Rhinolophus ferrumequinum: one gene and its partners. The protein of the gene in region 2 interacts with the protein of the main gene of each other region in a pairwise test. Links are inferred from orthologs where the notes say so. Each region holds a gene or a part of one and is shown on either strand. Other genes may lie near its edges. The genes, in order: HOXA1, SDCBP and ABI2.

Region 1 (8,050 bases), on a different chromosome or scaffold from region 2:
TAAATGCATTGCTTATTAACTGATTTATTTCATGACCTAAAGAAGGCTTGAGATGTTTACCCATAATTTATCGTTCTCTTCTCTCTGAGCTACATTAAAACCACCACCTTGAAGATTGGAATCTCCAGGATTCCAGCGCGTCGGGCCCTGCTTTTGGATATTGAAATCTCGGCAGTGGCATGCAAATGGCACTTTAGCACATTAAAGTATTTGGAAGCCAGCCATCTGTTTTGCTGTGTGGCCTTACACTAATAAACAAAAGATACTGTATAAGGCCAGGGAGGGGAAATGAAAGAAAGAGTTGGCCGACTTTGAAGTTCTTCTCCATCCACTTGAGTCTTTTAGAGGCAACCCCAGAATCCAGGAGCCGAGGGGAGGGCACCGGGTGCCCTTGATATGGCCGCAGCAACTGTGCCTGCAAAGTCCAGGCTTGTCCCCTTTGACAGGGAAGTACAGGAAATCTCATGGGTGTTCTAGGGGCCTGCAAATTTCGAGTTTCTGTAGGATTTCCTCCTCCTACCGTTAGCCCATCCTTTGTAAAACACCCTTTGGAGAGGAAGGAAGTCATATGTCTGTATTTGTTGTGATGCTGTAAAATTTTTGCTCTACCCTTGGGGCTAAAATTAAAGCCTCTAAAAATGTGTGAAAGGAAAGGAAAAGTGTTAAGGAATCTAGGCGAGCCACTTGGAACTCTTTGATTTGCTGACATTCTGTTTGAGAGCAAACACATGCTTTGGTCATAAGTGACACAAATATTGAAATGGACTTCGGCGTGATTTCCACAAGTTCACCTGGAAAAACCTGTTGAGCCCAGAGAAGAAAATAAAAACTTTTTTTCAGGCTTATGTGGTATGGAATTAGAACTTGAGGACCCATTACAGCCATGATGTCTATGAAAGCAAAGCTGAATATGCTGGGAATGAGAGATGTGTAACCTAAAGGAGATGGCGGGGGTGGGGAGGCATGTAGAGGGTGCCAGGATGGGATAGATATGGACAGGAGCAATGGGAGGAGGTATACAAGGGTTTACTGAAAGAGAACACACTCAATTTAAAGGGTAGAATATACTGAAACACTGATAATCCAGAAACAAGGAAGAAGCATGGGATGGGGCCCCATCTTCAAACAGCTTTATACTGGATCTAATTAAATGTGAATGTCTTAGCTCTTGGTTCACTGATGTGAGGAAAGACTGACTGAAGAGTTTGGCTTTTGAAGGGAGTTCTGTTTATATATATGTCAACATTCAGTTGGAGGTGAAAAGGTTAGCACTTGACCCAGGAAGTACCCATGTTGGTTTCAAAAATAGATCTGCTTCATAAATTTCTTCACTATTTTTTCCATTATGAACTTTGATTATAATAAAGGAGCTGTTGCTATTTTAAAGAAAATCAACCTCTTGTTGACATTGGTCAGGTGCAATTACACTCATGGGGACGCTTCACCTATGTATTAGAAAGCGCTTACTTTTTTTTCAAGGGAAGTCCCACCTCCTTGAAAATGCACACCACCTGTCTCCCCTTCCCCACATGAAATGAGCCAACTTTGTAGGAACCAACAAATAGTAACCAAGCCAAATACACGGATGCTTAAGCATATCTGAAACTTGAATGTATTTATTACAGACATCTTAAGACCCGTAAACTCTGCTCTGGATCACATCACTCCAGGATCTCAGAGCTGCTCATGATTGTACAGGAAATGGGGAATATCATAGGCTCACAGAGGATAACTGATAGAACTCAGTGTGGTACTTCAGGGACATCAAAACATTGTGCGACATGCAAAAGACTATTCACGAATCACACAAAATATACATTCATTGTGCCATCCATCACATTAACAATTGAGCTGAAAATACACCAGTTCCAGCTAAGATAACTGTAGAAAGAAGAAGCTCATTTGAATAATACCTTTAGGTTCTGAATAATCCAGCACAGAGTTGAAATAGAGTGGTGTGGCCAGAGAAACAAGAAAGGGGTGGGGATGAAGGGAGACTTAAGCACAGGAAACAAGGTTTCTGAACCTTGTGTTCTGCAGGCTTTCTTAACTCTCTAAAAGAATAAATTGAGGCTACCCTCTGAGGCAACTGATTGAGTTGAAATGATGCCTTTTATTCTTTAACCTAGAATCACATATAAAATTGTACCAGCTTTGAGAGTTTGCCCACCCTGTTTTAGTCACTTAATCTAAACATTTCTAAAAAAATCTGTATAAAGATAAATCTCTCAGAACAAAGTATTTACAACCAGCAAACTCACACACATGAAACTGAATTAAATTAAAAAACAAATCGTGTAAACACACTCATAGTGCATCTCTTCTTCATGAGCTCCTGGACTCTCTCCTTTCTCTCTATCATTCTTTGAGGTCAAAGTAGGAGAGAACTGTAAATATACAAATAGATAAAAGATGAGAGGCCTTTCTCTGACATGTTTCTGCTGGCAAAGGAGACTTTTCCAAAGGGCATCTGAAAGGAACAGAAGGTTCCGCGGAAATTGCCTAAAAGTAGGGAGGGGTGTTAGGAGCCATCAGAAAAGTGATGCTGGCACCCAATCTGCATTAAGGAGTTAACATCCTCCACCCCACCCCACCCCCCAGATCAAGTGAAGAATTCTCTGGAAACACATTATCCTGCCCAGGAGCTCCCCAGATAGGATCAGAAAGAGAGAGACTGCAAATGGAAAGGAAGATAAGCTAAGAATGTGCTTTGGGTAAGAAGTCCCAGCCCAGGAAGAGCCTGGGCTGAGGAGTCTGGGGCTGGGCCGACCTCAGTGGGAGGGAGTCAGGGTGTCTGAGGTAGAAGACCCCGGGGAAGGAACGCAGGGCGAGGAGCTGGACTTCTCTGAGGATTCCTCGGCCTTCTCTTCGCTTCCCGGCGGGGTGGCGGGAGAGATGGGCAAGAGGCCCTCCTTCTCTCGTTTCTTCTGCTTCATTCGGCGATTCTGGAACCAAATCTTCACCTGGGTCTCATTGAGCTGCAGGGACGCGGCAATTTCCACCCTGCGGGCGCGCGTCAGGTACTTGTTAAAGTGGAACTCTTTCTCCAGCTCGGTGAGCTGCTTGGTGGTGAAGTTGGTGCGCACCGCATTGGGTTGACCCACGTAGCCATACTCTCCAACTTTCCCTAGGGACAGGGTGGGAAGCGACCAGAGAAAAAGGTACAATTTTTACAATCAGTATGAGATCCCCTACAGTTTCAGAACAATATTCAGGTAAAAGGGAGATCAAGAATTTCACAACACACACCAGTCTGGGGAGGGTGAGTAATGAGGTGTAAAGTGTTAATCTGAAGTCAGCCATTAGCGTGGTCAGACCCGTGATTAATGGAGCCTATAGATATTAACAGAATTCCCCCAGCACACACAACTTCCCACTTCCTACTTCCAGAACCTCTAATCCTCAGCCCCTTTGAAAACACAACAGTCCCAGACGGTCCTTTGCCCCAACACACCAGGGCAATCTCCCCACGTCCTACAACACTGGTGTGTAGCAAGAACTTAAAATTATATATATATATATATATACACATATATATACACACATATATGTATATGTATATATGTATATATGTGTGTATATATATGTATATATGTGTGTGTATATATATATGTGTATATATGTGTGTATATATATATATATATCCCTTGGACACTAAGCATACAAACTCCTTCCACAATCATCAAGGGACATCATGGAATGGCAAGACTGACCTGTTTTGGGAGGGTTTCTTTTGACTTTCATCCAGTCAAAGGTCTGCGCTGGAGACGTCTCTGATGCAGGGGAGCGACAGGCTTCTTGGTGGCTGGCGTGGAGAGGGGACAAGGAGTTATTATACGTGGCCAGGGCCAGGCTCTGGTGCTCTTGTCCATATGAGTGGTGAATGTACTGAGGCGAGCCCACCGCGCCCCCGGCATAACCCTGGTGGTGGTGATGCTGGACCATGGGAGATGAGAGATTTCCAGAGTAAACAGCGGGAGCGCACGAGGGGTACCCACCACTTACTTCTGCTTCCTGATTTAACGCGTAAGGGCTGTAAGGCGCACCGAAGTTCTGCGCGCCGTAGCTTGGACCACAACTCGAGTGGGAGTAGGACACCCCCAGGTTCCCGGGAGTCTGGTAGGTGGCCGTCTGAGGGTGATGGTGGTGGTGGTGGTGGTGGTGGTGGGGCGGGCTGATCTGCACCCCCCTGCCCACTAGGAAGCGGTCGTCGCCGCCACAGCTGTTGGCACTGACCGCGCACGACTGGAAAGTTGTAATTCCATGGTCGGAAGGGTAGGCTCGCGCTGAGCAGGTCCCCGAGTCGCCACCGCTGAGGATGGGGTATTCCAGGAAGGAGCTCATTTTTGCATTGTCCATCTGTCACTGAGTAACCGGGTCCTGCGAAGTCCTGGGTGACCGTGCCAACTTTCTCACTTCCTCCATGGGGCCGGAGAAGAAAAATGATATGAATGTACAGTGCGCAAGGGGGGGGCGGGAGGGTGGAGGGCGCTACGGGAGGGGCACGTGACTATGTCAGCCAATGGCGGAGCCTCCTGCGAAAGTTTGCTGGCTCCCGCAGTGATGGATCACCGTTTCAGTGGCATTTAAATCCCCGGCGCTCCTCAGTCTAGGTGACGCGCAGTCGCCCCCCCAGGCAGCGGCAGCAGCTGCGGCGGCTGCTAGGGCAGATTCCGAGCTCTGGGGCGAAGGGGAGCAGAGGCTTGCCTTCCGCGCGCCGACTCCGTTCGCCCTCCCCCCCCCCGAGGTGGGGGCTGGGAAGCATCCCTTTCTCGTCTCCGCCCCCTCCCCACCGCGCTCAGAAAGATGAACTGGCAAGAGGTGAGAAGGGAAGAGAGCTCCGTGCTCTCCTGGGTCGGGAATCAGTGGGCCGGAGATCGGAGCGCGCCGAGCAGGAAGGGTAGGAACCGGGCCGGCACAGCAGCCCAAGCTCCCCCGGAGCTTTCACTGCACATTCCCTGCTGTGGTGCCTTGGGGCAGTGAGGAGCACAGAGCATGGTGGCTTCGGTTAAGGATGGGCCACCAGCTTTCCAGACTCGGAATGGAAAGGAAGTGCGCAGAGGGCTGGCTGGGAGGGCGTGGAGGAGACGTGGACAAGAAAGAAACTTCCCTTCTCCAAGGAGGGTCTCCGAAACTTCTAACCTCCACCCCACCTCCCCCACGGACTATTAGCATGGGTGTGAGGAGCTTCGGTAATTTGACGCCCGGGAGCTGGCCGAACCCTCGGAGCTGAGCTCGCCGGAAAAGGCCGGGGCCGCTGGGCTCTCCGCCCTCCCTCTCTCCTGGCTCTCCGCCCCTTTCTCCTCCCCACTCAGCTTTGCTTTGGGAGCCCTATGGGATCCGGAGCAGCTCGGCCGCTAGATTTTGAGGGTTAGGAGGCGGGGGAGAAAGATGACGCTAGCGGACGTGGCCAGCGTGGGGGCCGGGCCATGCGCTGCAGGCCATCTGCCGGCTCCCCAAGACCCAGGAGCCGGCGCGCTGCGGCTGAGCCCTCAAAGGGCGAGACTACAGCTCCCACAAAGTACGCTCAACTCCCACCCCACACCCCCCGCGCAACGTTTCTCGTTTTCTGGAGGGAGAATGTTAGGAGTTGATAGAGCTTCCTTTATTCACCACCACCCCATTCTACTGCGTATCTGAATTGGGGATGGGGGCTGGCAGGTGGGAGGGGCGGTGAACAGATGGCCGATGGTGGACGGGACATTTTCTTCTTCCCCCACAACACCTCCTCCTTTTTGTAACTGTGTAGTTCCTTGTGTGAACCTTCAGATCTTTCCCTAGAGAGACACGTGCAAATCTGAGTGTCATTCTAGGCCAGGGGTCCTGTTCTCCATCACCCTCATCCTACCCAGATTCTGACGGGGTCGTTAATTGCTGTTTACTATTAGGTTTCATGTCAACCCTTGGCTTGTGGAGAGAAAAGGCCAAACAGAGACCGAGAATTGAAGCATTCTTAGGTAGAAATCCAGAGATCATCCAGGAAGCTTCGCAGCCAATGCAGTCTAGATTTTACTCTGACCATGTTTACCACATCGGAATTAGACAGATGAAATTTATCTAAGGATTGTATTCTGAGTTCTGTTCTCCATATACAGAAGTTCCCTCAAAACGTGTCCTCCCAAGAGGGAAAACTCTTGCAGACATTTGACTGTGGATTCCCTCAGTGGCAAAGAAACATTTTCCCTAAACATTTCTTTTTGGAAAGTTATTTTCCTGTGACTTTTGACCCATCCCCAATCACGGTTAAGAGGGAGCACAGGCAGGAAAGCTCACTCCTGACCCAATTTCAGCACTTGGGGAACTTCATCCTGGAGAAGGGAAAAGGCAAGGCGGCCCTCCTGGAGGCGGCTTCCTTGGGAGCGCAAAGGCCTTCAGTGACGGCGAGAGAAGGGGCTACTATGGGGATGGAGGCAGGACATGAGGGGGTCCTTGCTGGCATTGCGCACGATCTGCAATCCGAGCCGAAGCTCGTCGGTATGTTCTCCCCCCTGCCTTATACCTGCCCCTTTGTTGGCCTCCACCGCCCGGGGTTTACGCGACGTCCTAGGCCGCAAGGCTCGCGCCGCAAAGCCACCCCCGCCACAACCGCTGTCCTTCCTCTGCTAGTTCTCGACCTCTTCTCTCCTCTCTTCCTCCCTCCCGGGCTCTTTTCAGGGCCAGCAGGGGTGGGTGTATTTCTTGGGATCACAAGCTTGAACGGGCACAGAGGCAGGCACTTGAACTGGCTACCCACCCGCCTCAGCGCAGTGCTCCCCTCTCCCCGCAGGCCCGGCTCTCGCAGCTGAGTCCGCTCCGCCCCGGCTGGCCGCCCTGAGCGCTGCTCTCCCGGTGCTGCTCACAAAGGCAGCCTCCCTGGCCGCGAGCCCGCAGGCTTCCGTAGCTCCCCACCCCCACGAAATCCTGGGGCTCATTCTGCCGGGTAGGAGACCCTCGGTCCTCTGGGCAAGTAGGCCAGCGCCCTACGACTCGAGCTAAAGCCCCTTTAAACGCCCGGGGAGAGTGGGTGGAAAGCGAGCTTGGCCACTATTTAAATGATCTCCTGCAAGCGGCTTGCTGGGCTCCAACCGCCTCTTTCGGGGCTCTTCTACTAGAGAAGGAAGGAGCGAGGAGACAAAACGCCGCTGCGGAGGCCGCGAGCTGTTCCTGGCATACGCGGCTCAGCCAAGCTGTTGTTTTAAAAGAGCAATAAAAATGAATTATGACTAAACGCCTTCTAACTTAATGCTTTCGGACGGGGATCCCCGGCAAATACGTAAGAGGATTTTTATTTGTGCATGTGTTCCTGCAATTGATCTCTTTGATGACATTCTCATTCATAGAAAGCGTTTGATTTATGAGCGTAGGACGAATCGCAAACAGCGGCTCAGCCCTGGCCGCTGCCGGGCCGCCCTGCTCCGCGCCGCGCCCGGGGCAGGAGACCCGCCAGGGTCCTCACACGCCTCCGCCGCTGCTGGGATTTGGGGGTAAAAGGGTGGGGGAAGGTAGATAGCAAACCCTTGGAGAAAGACCATGATTTCATTGTAACTTCCAAGCCTTTGCTATTAAGAGCTGGGTTCTTAAATCAACCCGCCCCCCACACATGTTGCTTACACGCTGCGTTTTCTCACGGTAAGTAGCCGTCAGAACAGAGCTCAGGAAGGGAAAAATAAATATGGGGAGACATAAGGAGGGGGGAAAAAAAACAGAACAACCCAGTAATATACCCTAGATCACATTTTATTGATATATCATTTAAAGTGCTTTATCTCTCTTTCTAGAAACTGGATTAATTTATAACCTAGGGTGCAGAAATACTCCATTTTAAATCTCAACTTGCTAACCTGACTTCAAAGCTTTAATGATCCATTATTTGCCATGTAAACAGATTTAAGAATGAAATATTGATTTTTCTGACCCTTAAAAAAAGAATCCTAGAATGACTGAACGAGAGGATTGGAAAGAACCCTTTCTGAAGTGCATTTTCCGGCCAGTAACCATCATTTTGTTTTATTTTTGTTTTTCTCTATCTTTTAGGTCTGTTTGCCTGGAGCCATCAGCAGCTGGGAAACTA
Region 2 (8,050 bases):
TAAACTCCTAAATAGTCTTTCAGAGCGATGTTTCTCAAACTTGGCTAATGATCAGATCAGAATTACCTGGGCACTGGTTAAAAATAGTTCCCAGTCTGACACGCATTTCATAGAAGAACTTAGAGACTCTTCTTTTTAACAAATATCCAGGGAGATTCTGATGATAGCCTCTAAGAAATATGGTCATATGAAGTCTATTCTAAGTAGAATAATTTCTTCTTAGCTAAAAGATTCCACTTCATATCTACTCGACTGGCAAAAACCCAACCAACACCCTCAGAGTAAGGCTTTGAGAAACACTCATACATTACTACTGAAGTATTAAACTAGTACAATTTCTATAAATTGTAAATAAAGTGATTACATGCCGATACCCTCCAACCCAGCAACACCACTTCAGATCTTTAGTCTACAAATATATTTGTACATAAAAAGTGATATATGTAAAAGTTCATTCACTGAAGCATCAACTGTAACAGCAAAACACCTAAAACAAAGAAGAAAATTCTATATACAATAATATTGAAAGAGGTTCAAAATATTATCATTAACTGTAAAAACAAAGCATGATTTAGAACAGTACAAGTATGCTAACATTTGTGTTAAAAGGAGGGGAACTTAAGGAAATAGAAAAGGAAGTGCAAAAAAAAAACAAAACAAAAAAAAACCCTAAGGTAGCAGAAGGAAATATCAAAGATTAGAACAAAGATAAATAAACTAGAGAATAGAAAAAATAGAGAAAATCAATGAAACTAAAGTTAATTTTTTTAAAGATCAACAAAATGGCAAACATTTATTTTAGCTACATGAACTAAGAAATAAAAAGAGAAAACTAGAAATAGTAAAACCAGAAATGAAAGTGGAAAATTTACCACAGATTCTACAGAAATAAAAAGAATTATGAGAGTACTAGGAACTGTATTACCAAAAAGTAACCTAGATGAAATGGACAAATACCTACAAACACAAAATCTACCAAAACTAAATCACAAAAAAATAGAAAATCTGAATAGACCTATACCTTGTAAAAAGAATGAATCAGTTTCAATCTCCTAACAAAGATACAAAAGATACTATCAACAGAGTAAAAAGGCAAACCACAGAATGAGAAAAAATATTTGCAAATCATACATCTGATAAGGGATTAATATCCAGAATATTTAGAGAACTCCCAAAATTCAGCAACAACAACAAAAACAAAATTGTCAAACATGAATAAACATTCCTCCAAAAATACACGAATGGCCAATAATAATAAGCACATAAAAAGATGCTCAACATTGCCAATCATTATGGAAATGCACATCAAAACTAAGAGATACCACCTTATATCCACAGTTACTGTTAAAAAAAAAAAAAGAAAGAAAGAAAGAAAATAGGTACTGGTGAGAAACTAGAACCCTTGTGCACTCTAGGTGGGAATGTAAAAGGCTATAGCCACCACAGAAAACAGTATGGCAGTTCCTCAAAAAATTAAAAATAGAATTACCATATGATCTAGCAATTCCACTTCTGGGCATATACCTAAAACAATTGAAAACTGGGTCTGAAGATATTATTTGTACACCTACGTTCATAGCAGCATTATTCATGATTGCTCAAACGTGGAAGCAACTCAAGTGTCCATGGACAGATGAATGGATAAGCAAAATGCGGTATATACCAGGGATGACAAAAAAATGTATACAAGTGGACACTTTGGTAAATGTTGCTCAAGCAGCAGTCCGCCGTAATCAGAAGTGTCTGGACGCTGACAGTAACCACTTTGAGCACTTCTTGTAATTGCAGAAGTCAAACGTGACTTGTATTCATCTTTTGTTACCGGTATATATTGAGTGTTACAATTTTAATAGTTTTCCTTTCTTAAAATGTGTATACATTTTTTGGCACCCTTTGTATATACAATGGAATATTATTCAGCCTTAAAATGGAAGAAAATTCTGCAATATACTACAACATGGATGAACCTTGAGGACATCACAGTCAGTGAAAGAAGCCAATCACAGAAAGACAAATAATGTATGATTCCACTTATATGAGGTACTTAGTCAACATCATAAAGACACAAAGTAGAATGGTGATTGCCAGGAGCCAGGGGGAGGAAAGAATGGGGAGTTACTGTTTAATGGGTATAGTTCCAATTTTAAAGATGAAGAGAGTTCTGGGGATGGATGGTAGTGGTGATGGTTGCACAACGTCTATGTACTTAATACCACTGAACTGTACAGTTAAAATGGTTAAAATGGGAAACTTTACACTATGTGTATTTTACCTCAACAAAAAGAGTGGAAAAAAGAAAAGGATGGAAATATATTTATACGTATGTTTGTCTGTATAGGTATAAAATACCCCAAGATGGATACCTAAGAAATGTAAAACAGCTGGCTCCTATTACAAGGGAATATAGTTGGCTGGAGAACCTAGAAGGAAGGAAGACTATACCATATACCTTTTTTACTGCTTAAATTTTGAACCATGTTACTGGTTACTTCCTCAAAATCTATATAAATATACCAAAAAAATGTTTGCAGGAGTTAGAAAGAAATTAGTAAGTGCTAATATAACTATTACTAGATGTAGGAATTATTTTTAAAAGTATTTTGAGGGATCTTTCTTTTTCGAAAGATCCCACAAAACAGGAAAAAAATAGTTGAGTCATGCTCAATTTAAGGAAGTGTTTATTGACTACTTCATTCGAATGCCACTATTAGTAAATTCTTCCTCTTTGGGTCATGATTTTTATATCCTTTCTTATAACGCACAAACATAACTCAAAATTAATGTTGTCAAAGTTATATTTAGATTAAAGTATTATAGTAACTACTTCCTGAACCTTTTAGAAGACATTTCACTTCTTTATTTTTATTCTGTGGCACAAACCATTGGATCTATCATTTGTATCAATGTACCATTTAAAACATAAAAGTTTGTAGAACAGACTTTTTTGGTAAGTTGGTAACAGAAAATAAACTCTTTTATTTATTTATTTTTTTACCGTTTGCCCTCAACTGCAAATAGAAAAACTAAAGACTGGAGGAATTTGAGTTAAATCACTTAATATATATTTGATATAAAGCTAAGAGCATGCAGTGTAATTTTCCTTTTTAATCGATTGTTTTCTTCTTTGAAGCAAGTTCATGTTAAGAATTTAGTAAACCAAGTGTACTCTCTGAGTAATGGACTTACTAATGGAAAACATAACAGTAAATGTGCATGCAGACAACATATACAGAAAAGAGGAATCTAGAAATTCCTTTCAAAAAATGGCACATTAGAAAACTCCATGATTAAGTAATTCCACTTTAGTGAAAAGGAAAACTTTACGTCCATATGCCTTCACTTTTCCCATTATTACCAGGAAATCCTGAAATGAAAGCTCTGAGTCACGAGATCTCAAGGGATACTTCCTTCTGAACACACCCTACTGGAAACGTTTTTCCCTCTCCTTCAATTTCTCCAGAAACAGGCCCGGAGAACAATCCCCTCCCCCCCACGCCCCCTTCCAGAAAGTCAAGGCTTCGCCCACTCAACAAACAACCTCCTCCTCCTACCAAATCCCGGACGTTCCGATTGTGCCACCAAGGAAGGTGATTAAGTACAACCCCATGGAATGCGAGGGTCGATGAAGCATAGCCAGCGGGCTCGTTCTTCACGGGTCTCTGAGGATCTCACCCAAGAAGAACAAAAAGGGTTGACAAGGACCGGAATGAGAAAGAGTCCCAGAGCTGAGGCGGGGGCTGACGGCGGCGCCCCGGGCCCGGCCTCAGGGCTCTGTCCCCAGCCCCGGCCCGGGAGGGACCACGACACCCGCAGGGTCGCAGGCAGGCACAGCGCGCCGCTCAGGCAAACTTTCACCCCGGGCCCGGGAGGGCGCACGGGGGGGTGCGGAACCCACCGAGGAGAGGACGTCGCCGCCGGCACCTCCCGAAACCCGTAGACGTTCTCCGCTTAGTGATCCAGGGTCCCCACGCCTCCGCTCCTTGTCCCCGCGCCCCGGACGCAGCCTGAGCGTCCCTCTTCCTCCTCAGCGATGCTTACCTAGGCCGCGGAAACCAGCTCCTGCCACCGCCGCCTCCGGTCACTGGCACGGACTTCCGAGACCCGAAGGGAGGAAAGCGGCGGGCGCCCGAAGACCGCCCTCGAGTCGCGTCACGGAACCACCCCCGCCGTCCACCCGCGCAGGCGCGCGATGCCCAGTCAGGTGACCCGTCCCCATGGTAACAGGGCAGCGGTGTGGTAACGGTGACCGGGCCGGGTGCGGGATTGAAGAATGTGGAGCCGCCCACGCTGACACCGGTTATGCTCACCACCTTCTCCACCCTCTCAGTAGTTCCTGCCCAAGGGCCCGGTGCCACCTGCTCACTGCTGTGTTCGTGGCGCTTGGTCACGTGGTACCCATCCCTTCCGACACAAAGAAACTCCGAAGAACCTATCTTTTGGAGATTCCTACCCCAGCTTTGGACTTCACCACTGTGGTCACTAACCTCTTCACCCACAGGCTCAGAAACATTCCTCCCACCAACCTTTTTCAGCTCCTGCCCTCTTTGTGTTACAACTTATTTCTTTGACTTTTATTACTCTTTGTCTATCTGAACTAAAGTTCATTGGCTGTTGAAGGTTGTGTAGTCCTGCACAAAATTTCTGTATCCTAATATAAAAACTGAAAACTGTATTTCTTCAGGGCTAACTATGTTCCAGGCACTGCCCTAAGAACTTGATGTATATAGTCTTATTTGGTCCTCACATCAATCTATAAAATAGCTAACATCTGCATTAGCATACAAAGAAACTGAGGCACACCTTTCCTAAGTTACCTAAGTTTACCATAGTTACCATGGAGTAACATAGAATACGAAATAGCATTAACGTAGAAGCATTTTTTGTCTAGCTGTTATTTAGTGCCACAATAAACTGGTAATTCTAATAAAAATCTGAGCAGAAAAGAGATGACAAGTAAATAAGATGAACACTGCCCTCAGAGAATTTATGGTCTAGTTGATAAAATAGACATTTAAAAATAATTACACGCTAGATTGGGAAAAAAGAAATAAAACCATTTTTGTTCGCAGGTGGCATGATTATGTACACAATCCCAAAGAATTGGGCCCTCTCCCCAAAAAAACCTAAAATTAATACACAAGTACAGCAAGTTTGCATGGTACAAGTTTAATATACATAAAACTATTATTGCTTTTTGTATACTAGCAGTGAATGATTAGAATTTGAAATTAAAGAAACTATCATTTATATTAATGCAAAAAAGTGAAATACTTTGGTATAAATCTAACAAAATATATACAAGATCTATATGAGTAAAACTATAAAATCCTGATGAAATAAAAGATCCAAGTAAATGGAAGTATATTCCATGTTCATAGATAGTAAGATTCAGTGTTGTCAAGATGTCAGTTCTTCTCAACTTGATAGATTTGACACAGACTCAATCAAAATCCTAGTTATTTTTTTTATATCAACAAAAATCCCAGAAGAGCCAACATAATATCGAAGAAGAGAACCAAGTCACAGGCCTAATAGTGCCCTACATCATTAAGCTATGTAATCAAGACAATGTGTTATTAGCAAAAGACTAGACAAACAGATGAATGAAACAGAATGCAGAGACAAGAAATAGAATACAGAGGCCAGAAATAGGTTCACACAAATACTCACCCAATGGATCTTTGGATCAAAGGAGCAAAGATGGACAAAGGATAGTCTTTTCAACAAATGGTGCTGGAACACCTGGGCTTCTACCAAAAACAGAGAAAAAAATCTGTGGGAATGAATAAATTTGTAGTTCAGTTGGACAGAAGTGCAGATACATGAGGACCCCACTTTGAGGATCCTGTCTAAAATGGAAGCTGTCTTGTTAGACATCTTGTCTATAACTTGTGGTATCTGATGCTAACTCTGGGTTGTTAGTACCAGAATTGAATTGAATTATAGAACACCCAGTTGGTGTCAAATAATTGTTGATGGGATTGAATACACCGTATAACACCAAGAGTGAACCCTAATGTAAACTATGGACTTCAGTTAATAATAGTGTATCAATATTGGTTCATCGATTGCAACAAATGTACAACATTAATTCAAGATGTTAAGAATAGGGTAAACTGTGTTTAGGGAAATGGAAGTACAAGAGAACTCACTGCACTATTTGCTCAATTTTTCCATAAACCTAAAACTTCTTAAAAAATAAAGTCTATTAATTAAAAATATAATAATTGCACAGATACAGTTGTGATGGGTGTTTGAAGAAAAAGTTCAGGGGACTATGGAAAGATATCACAAGGGAACCAAAATTAGTCCAGGAGTTCAAGGAAGACATCCTTGAAGACAGGCTTTTAAGTTGAAGAGTAAGCATTAGCTAAGTAACAAAGGGAGGAAATGTTTCAGGCAGAGAATAGCAAACACAAAAGCATTATGGTTGACTTGAAACTTAATGCATTTCAAGAATTGAAAGGCCGTTTTGGCCAGAACACAATAGTAAGGAGAAGGAATGGCTTAAGACAAAGCTACAGAAATGGGCGGAGCTCTACAGAAGTTACTGAAAAGAATAACATGATTAGATTTACATTTAAAATGCTTACCCTAGTTACTGCTTGGAGGATGAATTGAATGTGTGGATCAGTCTAGGAAACTACTACAGTGAAAATGGAGAAAATCAGAAAAATCCAAACAACATTAGGGTAAAGAATCAGGAAGGCTTCATGGTTGGTGTGATGTGGATTAAATACAGGGAAGTTCCTAAAATAAGTACCAGGTGTCTGGCATGAGCAGGTAGGTGGACATTGGCACACTTGTTAATGTGGGGTACACTAAGATGTGCAGATGTAGGCGATGGGAAGATTAGAAGATTGGTTTTGGATTTGTTAAATTTGAAGTGCCATGTGAGTTACCAGGTGTAGTAGGCTGAATAATGGCCCTGCAAATATGCCCATGTCCTAATCCTCAAAACCTGTAAATATGTCACCTTACATGATAAAAGGGACTTTCCAGATGTGATGAGGTTAAGTATTTTGTGATTGGACAATTGCTCTGGATTATCCAGTTGGGCATGATAGAGTCCACAAGAGAAAAGGAGAGGGGTTAGGGGCACGGAGGGGTGAAGTAGAAGCTATTAATAGAAGATCGAAGTTAGGAGCAGAAGCTGTAAGGAAGACAGCAGAGATTGAAATTATGGGGCCATGAGCCAAAGGCTGTATCACAGGCTCTTTCAGGGGCTGAGCCTTACAGGCAGCCAGCAGGGTGCAGCAGGCCTTGGGGTACCCTGTGCCTTTTGCTGAGTGGCCCAATGCCCAATACTGATGGTAGCTGGCCTCGGTTTGCAGTGTGGCCTCTCCCATGCACCTCCAGGTCCAGCACAGGCAGCTACCAATTGTGGATCACTCTGTAGCTCCTACCAGTAGCCCCACCTGGTCACAGGCAGCGGTGAACTTTGGCCTGCATGGGAACCCCTCCCAAGAGGCCGCAGAACAAACACAACAGAACCATTCACTGCTAGTTGGAAAAGATGAGGAGTAGATTCTCCTCCGGAAACTCCAAAAGAAACCAGCCCTGTCCACATCTTGATCTGCAGAATCACCGTGATGTGTCCATCACCTATGGCTGTAGCAAACTAAACCCACATCTTAGTGAATAAAGGGAGTGTGAGTGCAAATCTATACACTGAATACCCCTGGTCCCTTTTCTCTGTCTGTCCATTGACTACAAGGATGCTCACAGTCAGGCTTGTAGACTGAAAGGCAGTAGATTGAAAGATACCTCTCTAGAGAAACTCAAGAGAAAAGATCTGAAGATAATGACAGTTGACCTAATCACCCTGTAACAAAGCCCCCTTAATAACATGCCCGTCTTTGTTTTTATTTTTATTTTTGTTACTTTTTGTTTTTCAATTACAGTTGACGTTCAATATTATTTTATATTAGGTTCAGGTGTACAGAATAGTGGTTAGACATTTATATAATTTATGAAATGATCCCCCTAATGAGTCTAGTATCCACTTGGCAACATACATAGTTATTATATATTATAGTTGACTATATTA
Region 3 (8,050 bases), on a different chromosome or scaffold from region 2:
AAAAGATATTTCATGAAAATAGGCACAAACAATCAAAAAGCTGGGGTAGCAATGTTTATACCAGATAAAATAGACTTTAAATCAGAGGCTATAACAAGAGACAAAGAAGGACCCAGTAATCCCACTTCTGATTATTTGAAGAAACCCAAAACACTAACACAAAAAGACTTATTTATCCATGTTCATTGCAGCATTATTTATACTGTGGCCAAGACATGAAAGCAACCTAAGTGTCCGCCAATAGATGAATGGATAAAGAAATGGTACATATATACAACAGAACATTACTCAGCCATTAAAAAGAATGAAATCTTGTCCTCTACAACAATATGGATGAATCTAGAGGGTATTATGCAGAATGAAATAAGTCACAGAGAGACAAATACTATATGATTTCACTTATATGTGGAATCTAAAGAAAATGAACAAAGCAGAAACAAATATAGAGAACATTTTGATGGTTGCCAAATGGGAGGGGGTTGGGGTAATAGACGAAGGGGGTAAAGGGATTAAAAGGTACACATTAGTCATGGTGATGTAAAGTATAGCATAGGGAATATAGTCAATAATATTGTAATAACTATATATGGTATCAGATGGGTACTAGATCTATCCGGGTGATCACTTCATAAGTTATATAAATGTCAAATCACTATGTTTTCCTCCTGAAACTAATATAATATTGTATGTCAACTGTAATTGAAAAATTAAAAATTATTTTAAAAAATCCTTAACAATTACTAAGTTCTTTTTTATAGGCAAAAAATAAAGAAAATCAATTGGGTAAATATCAACAAATTGTAGTTATAACTTTTTATCATCACATTTTAGAAAAAATACTTTGACTATCATTTTCTCTAGAGGTTGAAGTAATAAAACAAAAATCATCTAAAGTTTTACCAAAGATGGTTTTTAAATTTCTGATGTTAACTGGAAAACTACTATTAGTAACCTGGAAAACTACTACTTACAACCCTGCTCTGCTCTACTTGTAGATTTTGTGTGCATGTTCATACAGGCAATACCTAATTATTCGTAATGCTAATAATGTATCTGAAGGATATTTTTATAAGATAGAAACAATTTAAACAGTACAATTGTTTTCAAAAGGACTGTGCAATCATTTGCCCTCCTTTGCTCAATTTCACACAACATAATTCACATGTATTCTTATTTATCTTATATTTTTGGATATTCTTATGCATAAAACCAGCTATTTATAAACACTAAGCAAAGAACCTTACCTTTTGTTACATATGAGCAGATTTGTCCTTTTTCGGCTTTACAAGCATAAATTACATTTCCACAAAATAAAACGAGTGTTTGGTTTGTTAACTTAAGGTAGTGGTTATGGCATGAAGCTATAATAAAGCTAAATTGACCATTTGGTCACCGATCCCACCAATTAACTTTCATCTATTGCAGGGTCAAAGGCAGCAATTGCAGGGTCAAAGGTAGCATTAAAACCCCAGCTAGTCAGTTCTTTGGGTTACAAGGAAAGATATCCAAATGTGCAGCTGGGTCAGCACAAATCACTATCACCATGTTCTATTTATCAACTTTACTACAAACAAATCATATAAGAACTGTCATCTGGGAAGAGAATATCAATAATATACCCACTAGATCCTAAAATAGATGATAATATAAGAGGTAATAATGTAAAATCTATTGTAGATGCTAAATTGAAGAAATATTTTAAAATCCAAATCCATTTCTATTAATCAATATTCATACTTTGAATTGTAAAATGCCACCACACTAAATTTTGAGTCCCACTGAAAGACACATAATGGTGGCAGTAACATTCTCTTTTCAGCTGGAAAAAATGTAAAAAATATGTAAAAAGACAATCACTGATCCCTTGAACCTGTCAGCTTTATTAACCCATGTACTTTCACATTTACGTAACAATTGTAATCTAAGGGGAACTATACCTTGAAATTACAATAAAAATTATCTTCCAAGGGGAGACGAATCTGTTTCTTTTCTTACTAGTAATAAGCGCAAGCCAATCACTTTTCCACCCTGTTTCTCTACTGACCTTTAACTCTTTGCAATAATATGCTGCATGAGGCAATGCAATTACCACTTCCACCCTTTAGATTTGCCTCTCCTAGAGAATGTGAATTCCCTGAGATAGCATAGCTTCCTTCAGTCCTTCTTCCCACTGGCAGGCAGTCCATTAGAGTATAAATCGACACATTATATGGTATTCATCTGCTCTCCCAGCAGCCCCTCCTCCTAACTGCACTGTGGAATTGTGTAGATACTAGGTGTGCATCATAGAACCCTTGACACAGGGCCAGGCCACAGAAGGCTTTTGAATATATTTAGTGGAAAACTGAGCAACTGAATCTTTGAATCTCTCCTACCCTACTCAGTATCAGAAGCGCTCCCTAAAAATATGGACAACTGTATTTTTGATTATATCTCTAACCCAAGACATATTCTTTCTTTTCCTACTAGCCATACTTTCAACTGCCTCCTTGGAGAGAAAAGCCTTGGATCACGACTGGTTCATTCTCCAATATAAACATTCCCTACAAGATAATATAGAGTTCAGTATATGTCTAATCAAGTAAAACCTCACAATACCATCCCTGATTAACCACGTGGTTCTTACAAAATTTATGAAACTATAAATTTTAACACCTATTTTTTCAGTTTACACTAAGACTTGAGAATGCTTTCCAATATAGCTGATGTTAAGGAGGATGCCTGGAGATATGGGAGCCGGACAAAAAAGACCATAGTGAAGGAACAATTTAACATACTTCTTCTATTTCCACCTTTATCCCAAGAGGATTTAAATGGGAAGGGAAAACATGTGATTCAGAGTCCGCCATAAAAAAAAACAAAAGATGCTGAATTTGCAAACTGTGCGTTTTAACCTATTCTTTCAAATAATTTTTAAAGGATTTTTTTTGTTGTCGTTAAATCCACGGAGTCTTTACTTCATCCAGGAGCAGCTGAATCTCATCTCACCCTGTATCCCCCACCTCCACACATACACACGCAGCGCTACCATATGAGTCTCGGTGCCAAACCAACCATCAGGGGAAAAATTAAACCATGAGGATCGTTTCCTAATTTTCTCTGAAAAATCGTCACAATTCTTCTTCCCACAGGAAAATAAATTACCTATTTTAATGGGATGGGGCGAGGGAAGTTTATCATGCAGCTTCTCATTCTCCAAAGGAGGAAAAGAGCAGTAACTTCAGAGAGATAACTGCTCTGCTGTATCAAGGGTTAGAACCTAAAACGCAAGCAAGCAAGCAAAAAAAAAAAAAAAAAAAGGTCTCTTGGGGTATTCACATGAATAGAAAACTGAAGCACTTTACTTTGCAGCAACACAGTCCCTTAAATATTTTCCAAAGCTTGAGGGAAGAGGATGACCCATCAATCGCCCCACACTCCTGCCTTTTAGGGGAGCAGGATTCTGTCAAATAGAAAATGCCACTCTCCGGCTCCTCCGCCATCCCGAACATTGAATGGCACAAAGTGCGGGGGCGACCGAGGGCAGAAGTGAAGAGGTAGGGACACCACACAAACACCGCACCGAGGACTGATTCATGGCTTTTTAAAATGTTTTAAAGCTAGAATTTCATCCAGCCAGAGGATTCTCACCCATTCACCAGCCCCAGCTCCCACCCTGCTCCTCCCCCAAACCGCGGGCTCAGCTGGGCCGTGTCCCCGCCGCGGCCTCGGCCCCGCAGCCCTACGCCCCCAGGCGCGCGGTCCCCGGCCCCGGGGATCCCCCGCGCGCCACTCACCACCCCGCGGCCCCGCGCGCTCGGGCCAGGAGATGCGTCGCACCTGGATGTAGTTGTTCTCGCAGTAATCGGCCACCCGCTCCAGATTCGTGTAACTGTCGAAGAGGGCCCGGCGGCCCCCCGGGATTTCCTCCTCCAGCAGCATCTGCAGCTCCGCCATCTTCACATCCTCCTCCTCCTCCTCCTCATACAGACCGCAGAGGTACCAGCGGCAACAGCGCCAGGGAAACCCAAGACTGGGAGAGGAGGAGCGGAGGAGACCGCGGCAACTCGGGAGGAGCGAGAAACACCCCCCGCGCGCGACAGGGGAGGGGGCAGCAGGAACGGGGGCGGGGCGCGAGCCGACGGACTCCGAGGACGGTCACCGCGGCGACAGCCGGCCGGGCGCGCGCACGCGCGCTCCCCTTTCTCCGCCCCCGGGCGCCTGAAAAAGATTCCCACCCTCGGCCGCTCCGCCTGCCCCTCCCCCACTTCCGGCGTTTCCTAGCGACGACGGGAGTGGGGGCCGGGATGCGCGCGGGAGTCGGGCGCGCGGTTAACCCTTCGGCCCCCACAGGTTGAGTAGCTGGGGAAGTACCCCCGGCGGCCTTTGTTAGTCCGGCGTGAACGCGCTACTGGCCCCGCCTTCTTCTCGCCGGCGCCCTCCGCGATTCCCTTGGGTGTTATCCTCATTCTGGGGGCCAATGCCCTGGTCATCGGCCTGAGGGATAATGTCAGCCTACAAAACTTCCATGCAGCTTTAAGCGCTGCCTTACTTTTCATTTTTCTCTTCATCTTTTGACCTCATCCATCCTATTTGGGGCAAATTCCAAATTCGTTGTCCCAAATTTTCTGCACTTTAACTTTTTGTGCATTTGCCCCCTAACGCTGTGGTCCCCGGCCAGGTTAGCCTCTGTTCTGTTCTCATTTGCCCCACCACTGGACCACAGCTTTTTGTGCTTGCCCTCTTTATGACTCTCTTCCTCACTGACAACCTTTTCTGTCATTTCTCTGGTTCTGTCAACTTCGTTTTGTGGGGTTTTTTTTGGTCAGTAAAGTTTTGAACACGGTTTTACTAGTACTAGTTTTACTCCTTACAGTACTATCACATGGATAAAATAAGTTTATGTGAAAGCACCTTAGAAAACGTTAAACGCTACAAAAATTCGAGGTAGACCATTTTGATCTTGCAGTTATTCTGTACTTATTTACCAGATGCTGTATCTTTTTCCCCAAATCCAGTTACTCCACGAGTTGTAATCCTAAAAAACCAAAATTCTTGACAACTGCTGAGATATTATAAAGTCCAAGACCTTTATCTGTCCTGTGGAAAGTCAAAGTTGACTACAGTTGTAGTTTAGAACAGGATCCATTATTTTAACTCTTGTTCATGCTTTTGTGATCTCTTGTTCCCTCTACAGTAATTCCCTCATTTTTTCCCAGATGGTAAGGAAACTACTGGGAGGTGCCAAAAAACAATGTATACAAGTGGATACTTTGGTCAGTGTTGCTCAAGCAGTAGTTTGCTGCAATCAGAAGTGTCTGGATACTGATTGTAACCACTTTGAGCACCTCTTGTAATTGCAGAAGTGAAATGTAACTTCTATTCATCTTTTGTTATCGGTATTTATTATTAGGATTTTAATAGTTTTCCCTTCTTAAAACGTGTATACATTTTTTAGCACCCTCTGTGTATCAAAAAAAAATCATTTTAATGCCATATCGTTACAAATTTCTGGAGGAATCTATGATGTTAATGTTGTATTGGCTTTATGATGAACATTAGCAAATTGTTTTGAGTTTCCACCATGGAACCCAAATTAAAAGACAATGAAAATGTTGATCCAGTCCAACTAGTTTTATTCTTAACCACTTTAAACATCTTCTGTATTAGTGGTTCTCAAATTTCAGTTGTGGGGAGCTTGTTAAAAATGAAAGCTACAGTGTCCGTCTCCAGAGATTCATTTAGAGAGCAGTAGTGATGGAATGGGATAGTTACTTAAATGGCACATAAATTTGCTTCAGGGAATAAGACACTTATGAATAATCAAGTGAATGAAACATTAGATCAAGCAAACCTTTCTTTCAGAATAAACTTCAATGGATCAAAAGGCTACTGTTGAACTGTAAGGCGGCCAGCAGGTGAGTTAAATGGTAGACACTCTTCCCCCATTACACTATTCACACTTAGCAATCTTTCAATCCTGCTTAGCAATTACCCCAAAAACAAATCTCCCTGAGGGATGATTCTTCCTCACAGGAATCACTGTGTGAAGATTCTAGTACTTTCTCCAATAAATTGGTGACTGTCTTCTTTGGATCTTAGCTTCCTTATCTGAAAAATCAAAGGGTTAAATTCGGGTCAGTTCTCACACTTCAGTGTGGATTGGAATTACCTGAAGGGCTTGTTAAAACACAGATTGCTGGGTTCCAACCCCAGAGTTTCTGATTCAGATGGTCTGGCCCAATTTATATTTCTAAGTGTCCAGGTGACGCAGATGAAACTGCTCTCTGGCTCTGAAGATCTATGATTCTAATTTCTGGCAGCTGGGAATCTCCACTAAAAGTTTTGCTCAGCGGAATCTGAGGACCCAAGGACATAGACACTTCTGCTGCCACCAAGATAACTTAAGCAAAAACCGCAAGATCTATAAAAGTACATGTGTGTTTATATGTTATCTGAGTGGTGGAATTGTGGAGGTTTTTTTTGCTCATCCTAATTTTCTAAAATGAACATGCATTATTTTTCAAGAGTCCAGTCTCCCCAAATTAGAAAGAATACTTTTATTAATGCAGCCCAAGATGACATTTTTAAAGTAATTTTATCAGCTTAACTCAAAACATTAAAAACTCCTACATTTTTTTACATATTAAGCCAATCATGCCAAATCGGTTTTTTTAATCTAATTGCAGTTCTTTGTATTTAGTGACAATAATTAAACCTTCGTTTCGTCCCCAATTTGAATAAGAATGTTGAACAACTCAAGGCCAAGAAGAGAGCCTGATGACTCGCCCCTATAAGCTCACGTAGCTGTTTGGAGCCATTATCAAAATACAGTAAATTTGGCCAGTTGCGAATGTGCCTTAGACTTACACTTATCCAACATTTCAACATTCCTAGTCACAAGGCTGATGAGAAAGTGTCAAATTCTTCTGCTGAAATAAAGATGCACTGTCTGTGGAATTCCCCTGATGTATATCGTGCTAGTAACTCTATCCTTAAATGAGGAAAGGTAAAGGACATACAGTGTCTGATAGTGTGGGCTCTAAAGAAATAAATGTTGCATAACAACTGTTTACATTGCTTGTCTTACAATATCTAGAAGATACAACTGTTCACTCCAAACTTCCCCTCAGATTCTTCCTGCATACCAACATGCTAATTATTCATAAACATTGTTTTCATCATTAACTCTCTGCCCCCAAATTTTCAGTCTCTCTTTTAAATGACATCAACCTATCAGCTTTAGTATCCTTAACATTAGTAAACGGGTTGATTAGTATTTACTGTTATTTTCTCATACATTTTTTAAATTTACTAGAGAATAAATAGCATCTATGGCACCTAAAGAATAATACCAGCTGTTTCATATCCACACAATGGCAGTTCCTATAATGGTTATCACCTTTCCAAGTTGTACATTAAATGCTTGGAAACGAGTAAATAAGAAATTATTAAATGTCTTTCTTTTCCATGAAGATACTTTGGACAGTTTTTCTTTTTTACCTTGAGAATTTCAAAATTAGTTTTTTGGCTGCTATGTGATTTTATCAGACAACACCAAATTTTATATGTCTATAATTTTACACATACATAAAATATATGTCAATGAATGAATATATATATATATGTGAATGTATATTTCAATGAAATTTAAGAATTCCTTTCTGTGCAATTAACTTCCCTGTTAGAGATACCACACAGTACTCAGTAGAAATGCAGAGTTTTTTATTCAAAGACATGGTTAACTGAGTTCCCATTCTCACCCCAAACAAGAAAAATAATTATCAGTGATTAATATTTTCATAGTATTTATACACATTTCTGGGTTTTAATCAGATTTGAGACAATCAGAAAATTTTAATATCAAGTACATATAATTTGAACATACTAAATCTTGAAACAAATGTTCTGTATATAATCAAGATGGCTGGAAACTAAGATTTATATTTTTAGATAAGCTTTATCATCTGAAACTTTGGTTTCAGTGTTAGTGATACAAACTTTGGTCTCAATTTTAGGGATATTCATTTAATGGTTAAAAAGGTACCAAACTATTTTTTTAAAAGTGTTA

The links.
Region 1: the proteins of SDCBP (region 2) and HOXA1 interact in binary tests that used the Homo sapiens proteins (3 or more experiments, as listed by UniProt). The two-hybrid records come from large-scale screens. The link is inferred for Rhinolophus ferrumequinum from reciprocal best matches to the Homo sapiens genes SDCBP and HOXA1.
Region 3: the proteins of SDCBP (region 2) and ABI2 interact in binary tests that used the Homo sapiens proteins (3 or more experiments, as listed by UniProt). The link is inferred for Rhinolophus ferrumequinum from reciprocal best matches to the Homo sapiens genes SDCBP and ABI2.

What each region holds. Positions count from the first base shown.
Region 1 is NC_046303.1:14,536,346-14,544,395, reverse strand, and holds HOXA1 (homeobox protein Hox-A1), read right to left. Parts: upstream 4,464-8,050; 5' UTR 4,360-4,463; coding exon 3,714-4,359; intron 3,128-3,713; coding exon 2,772-3,127; 3' UTR 1,611-2,771; downstream 1-1,610. UniProt on the Homo sapiens protein: Sequence-specific transcription factor. Regulates multiple developmental processes including brainstem, inner and outer ear, abducens nerve and cardiovascular development and morphogenesis as well as cognition and behavior.
Region 2 is NC_046297.1:20,115,410-20,123,459, forward strand, and holds the start of SDCBP (syntenin-1), read right to left. Parts: upstream 4,179-8,050; 5' UTR 4,039-4,178; intron 3,916-4,038; exon of another isoform or gene 3,896-3,915; intron 1-3,895. UniProt on the Homo sapiens protein: Multifunctional adapter protein involved in diverse array of functions including trafficking of transmembrane proteins, neuro and immunomodulation, exosome biogenesis, and tumorigenesis.
Region 3 is NC_046291.1:28,615,564-28,623,613, forward strand, and holds the start of ABI2 (abl interactor 2), read right to left. Parts: upstream 4,156-8,050; 5' UTR 3,937-4,155; coding exon 3,820-3,936; intron 1-3,819. UniProt on the Homo sapiens protein: Regulator of actin cytoskeleton dynamics underlying cell motility and adhesion. Functions as a component of the WAVE complex, which activates actin nucleating machinery Arp2/3 to drive lamellipodia formation.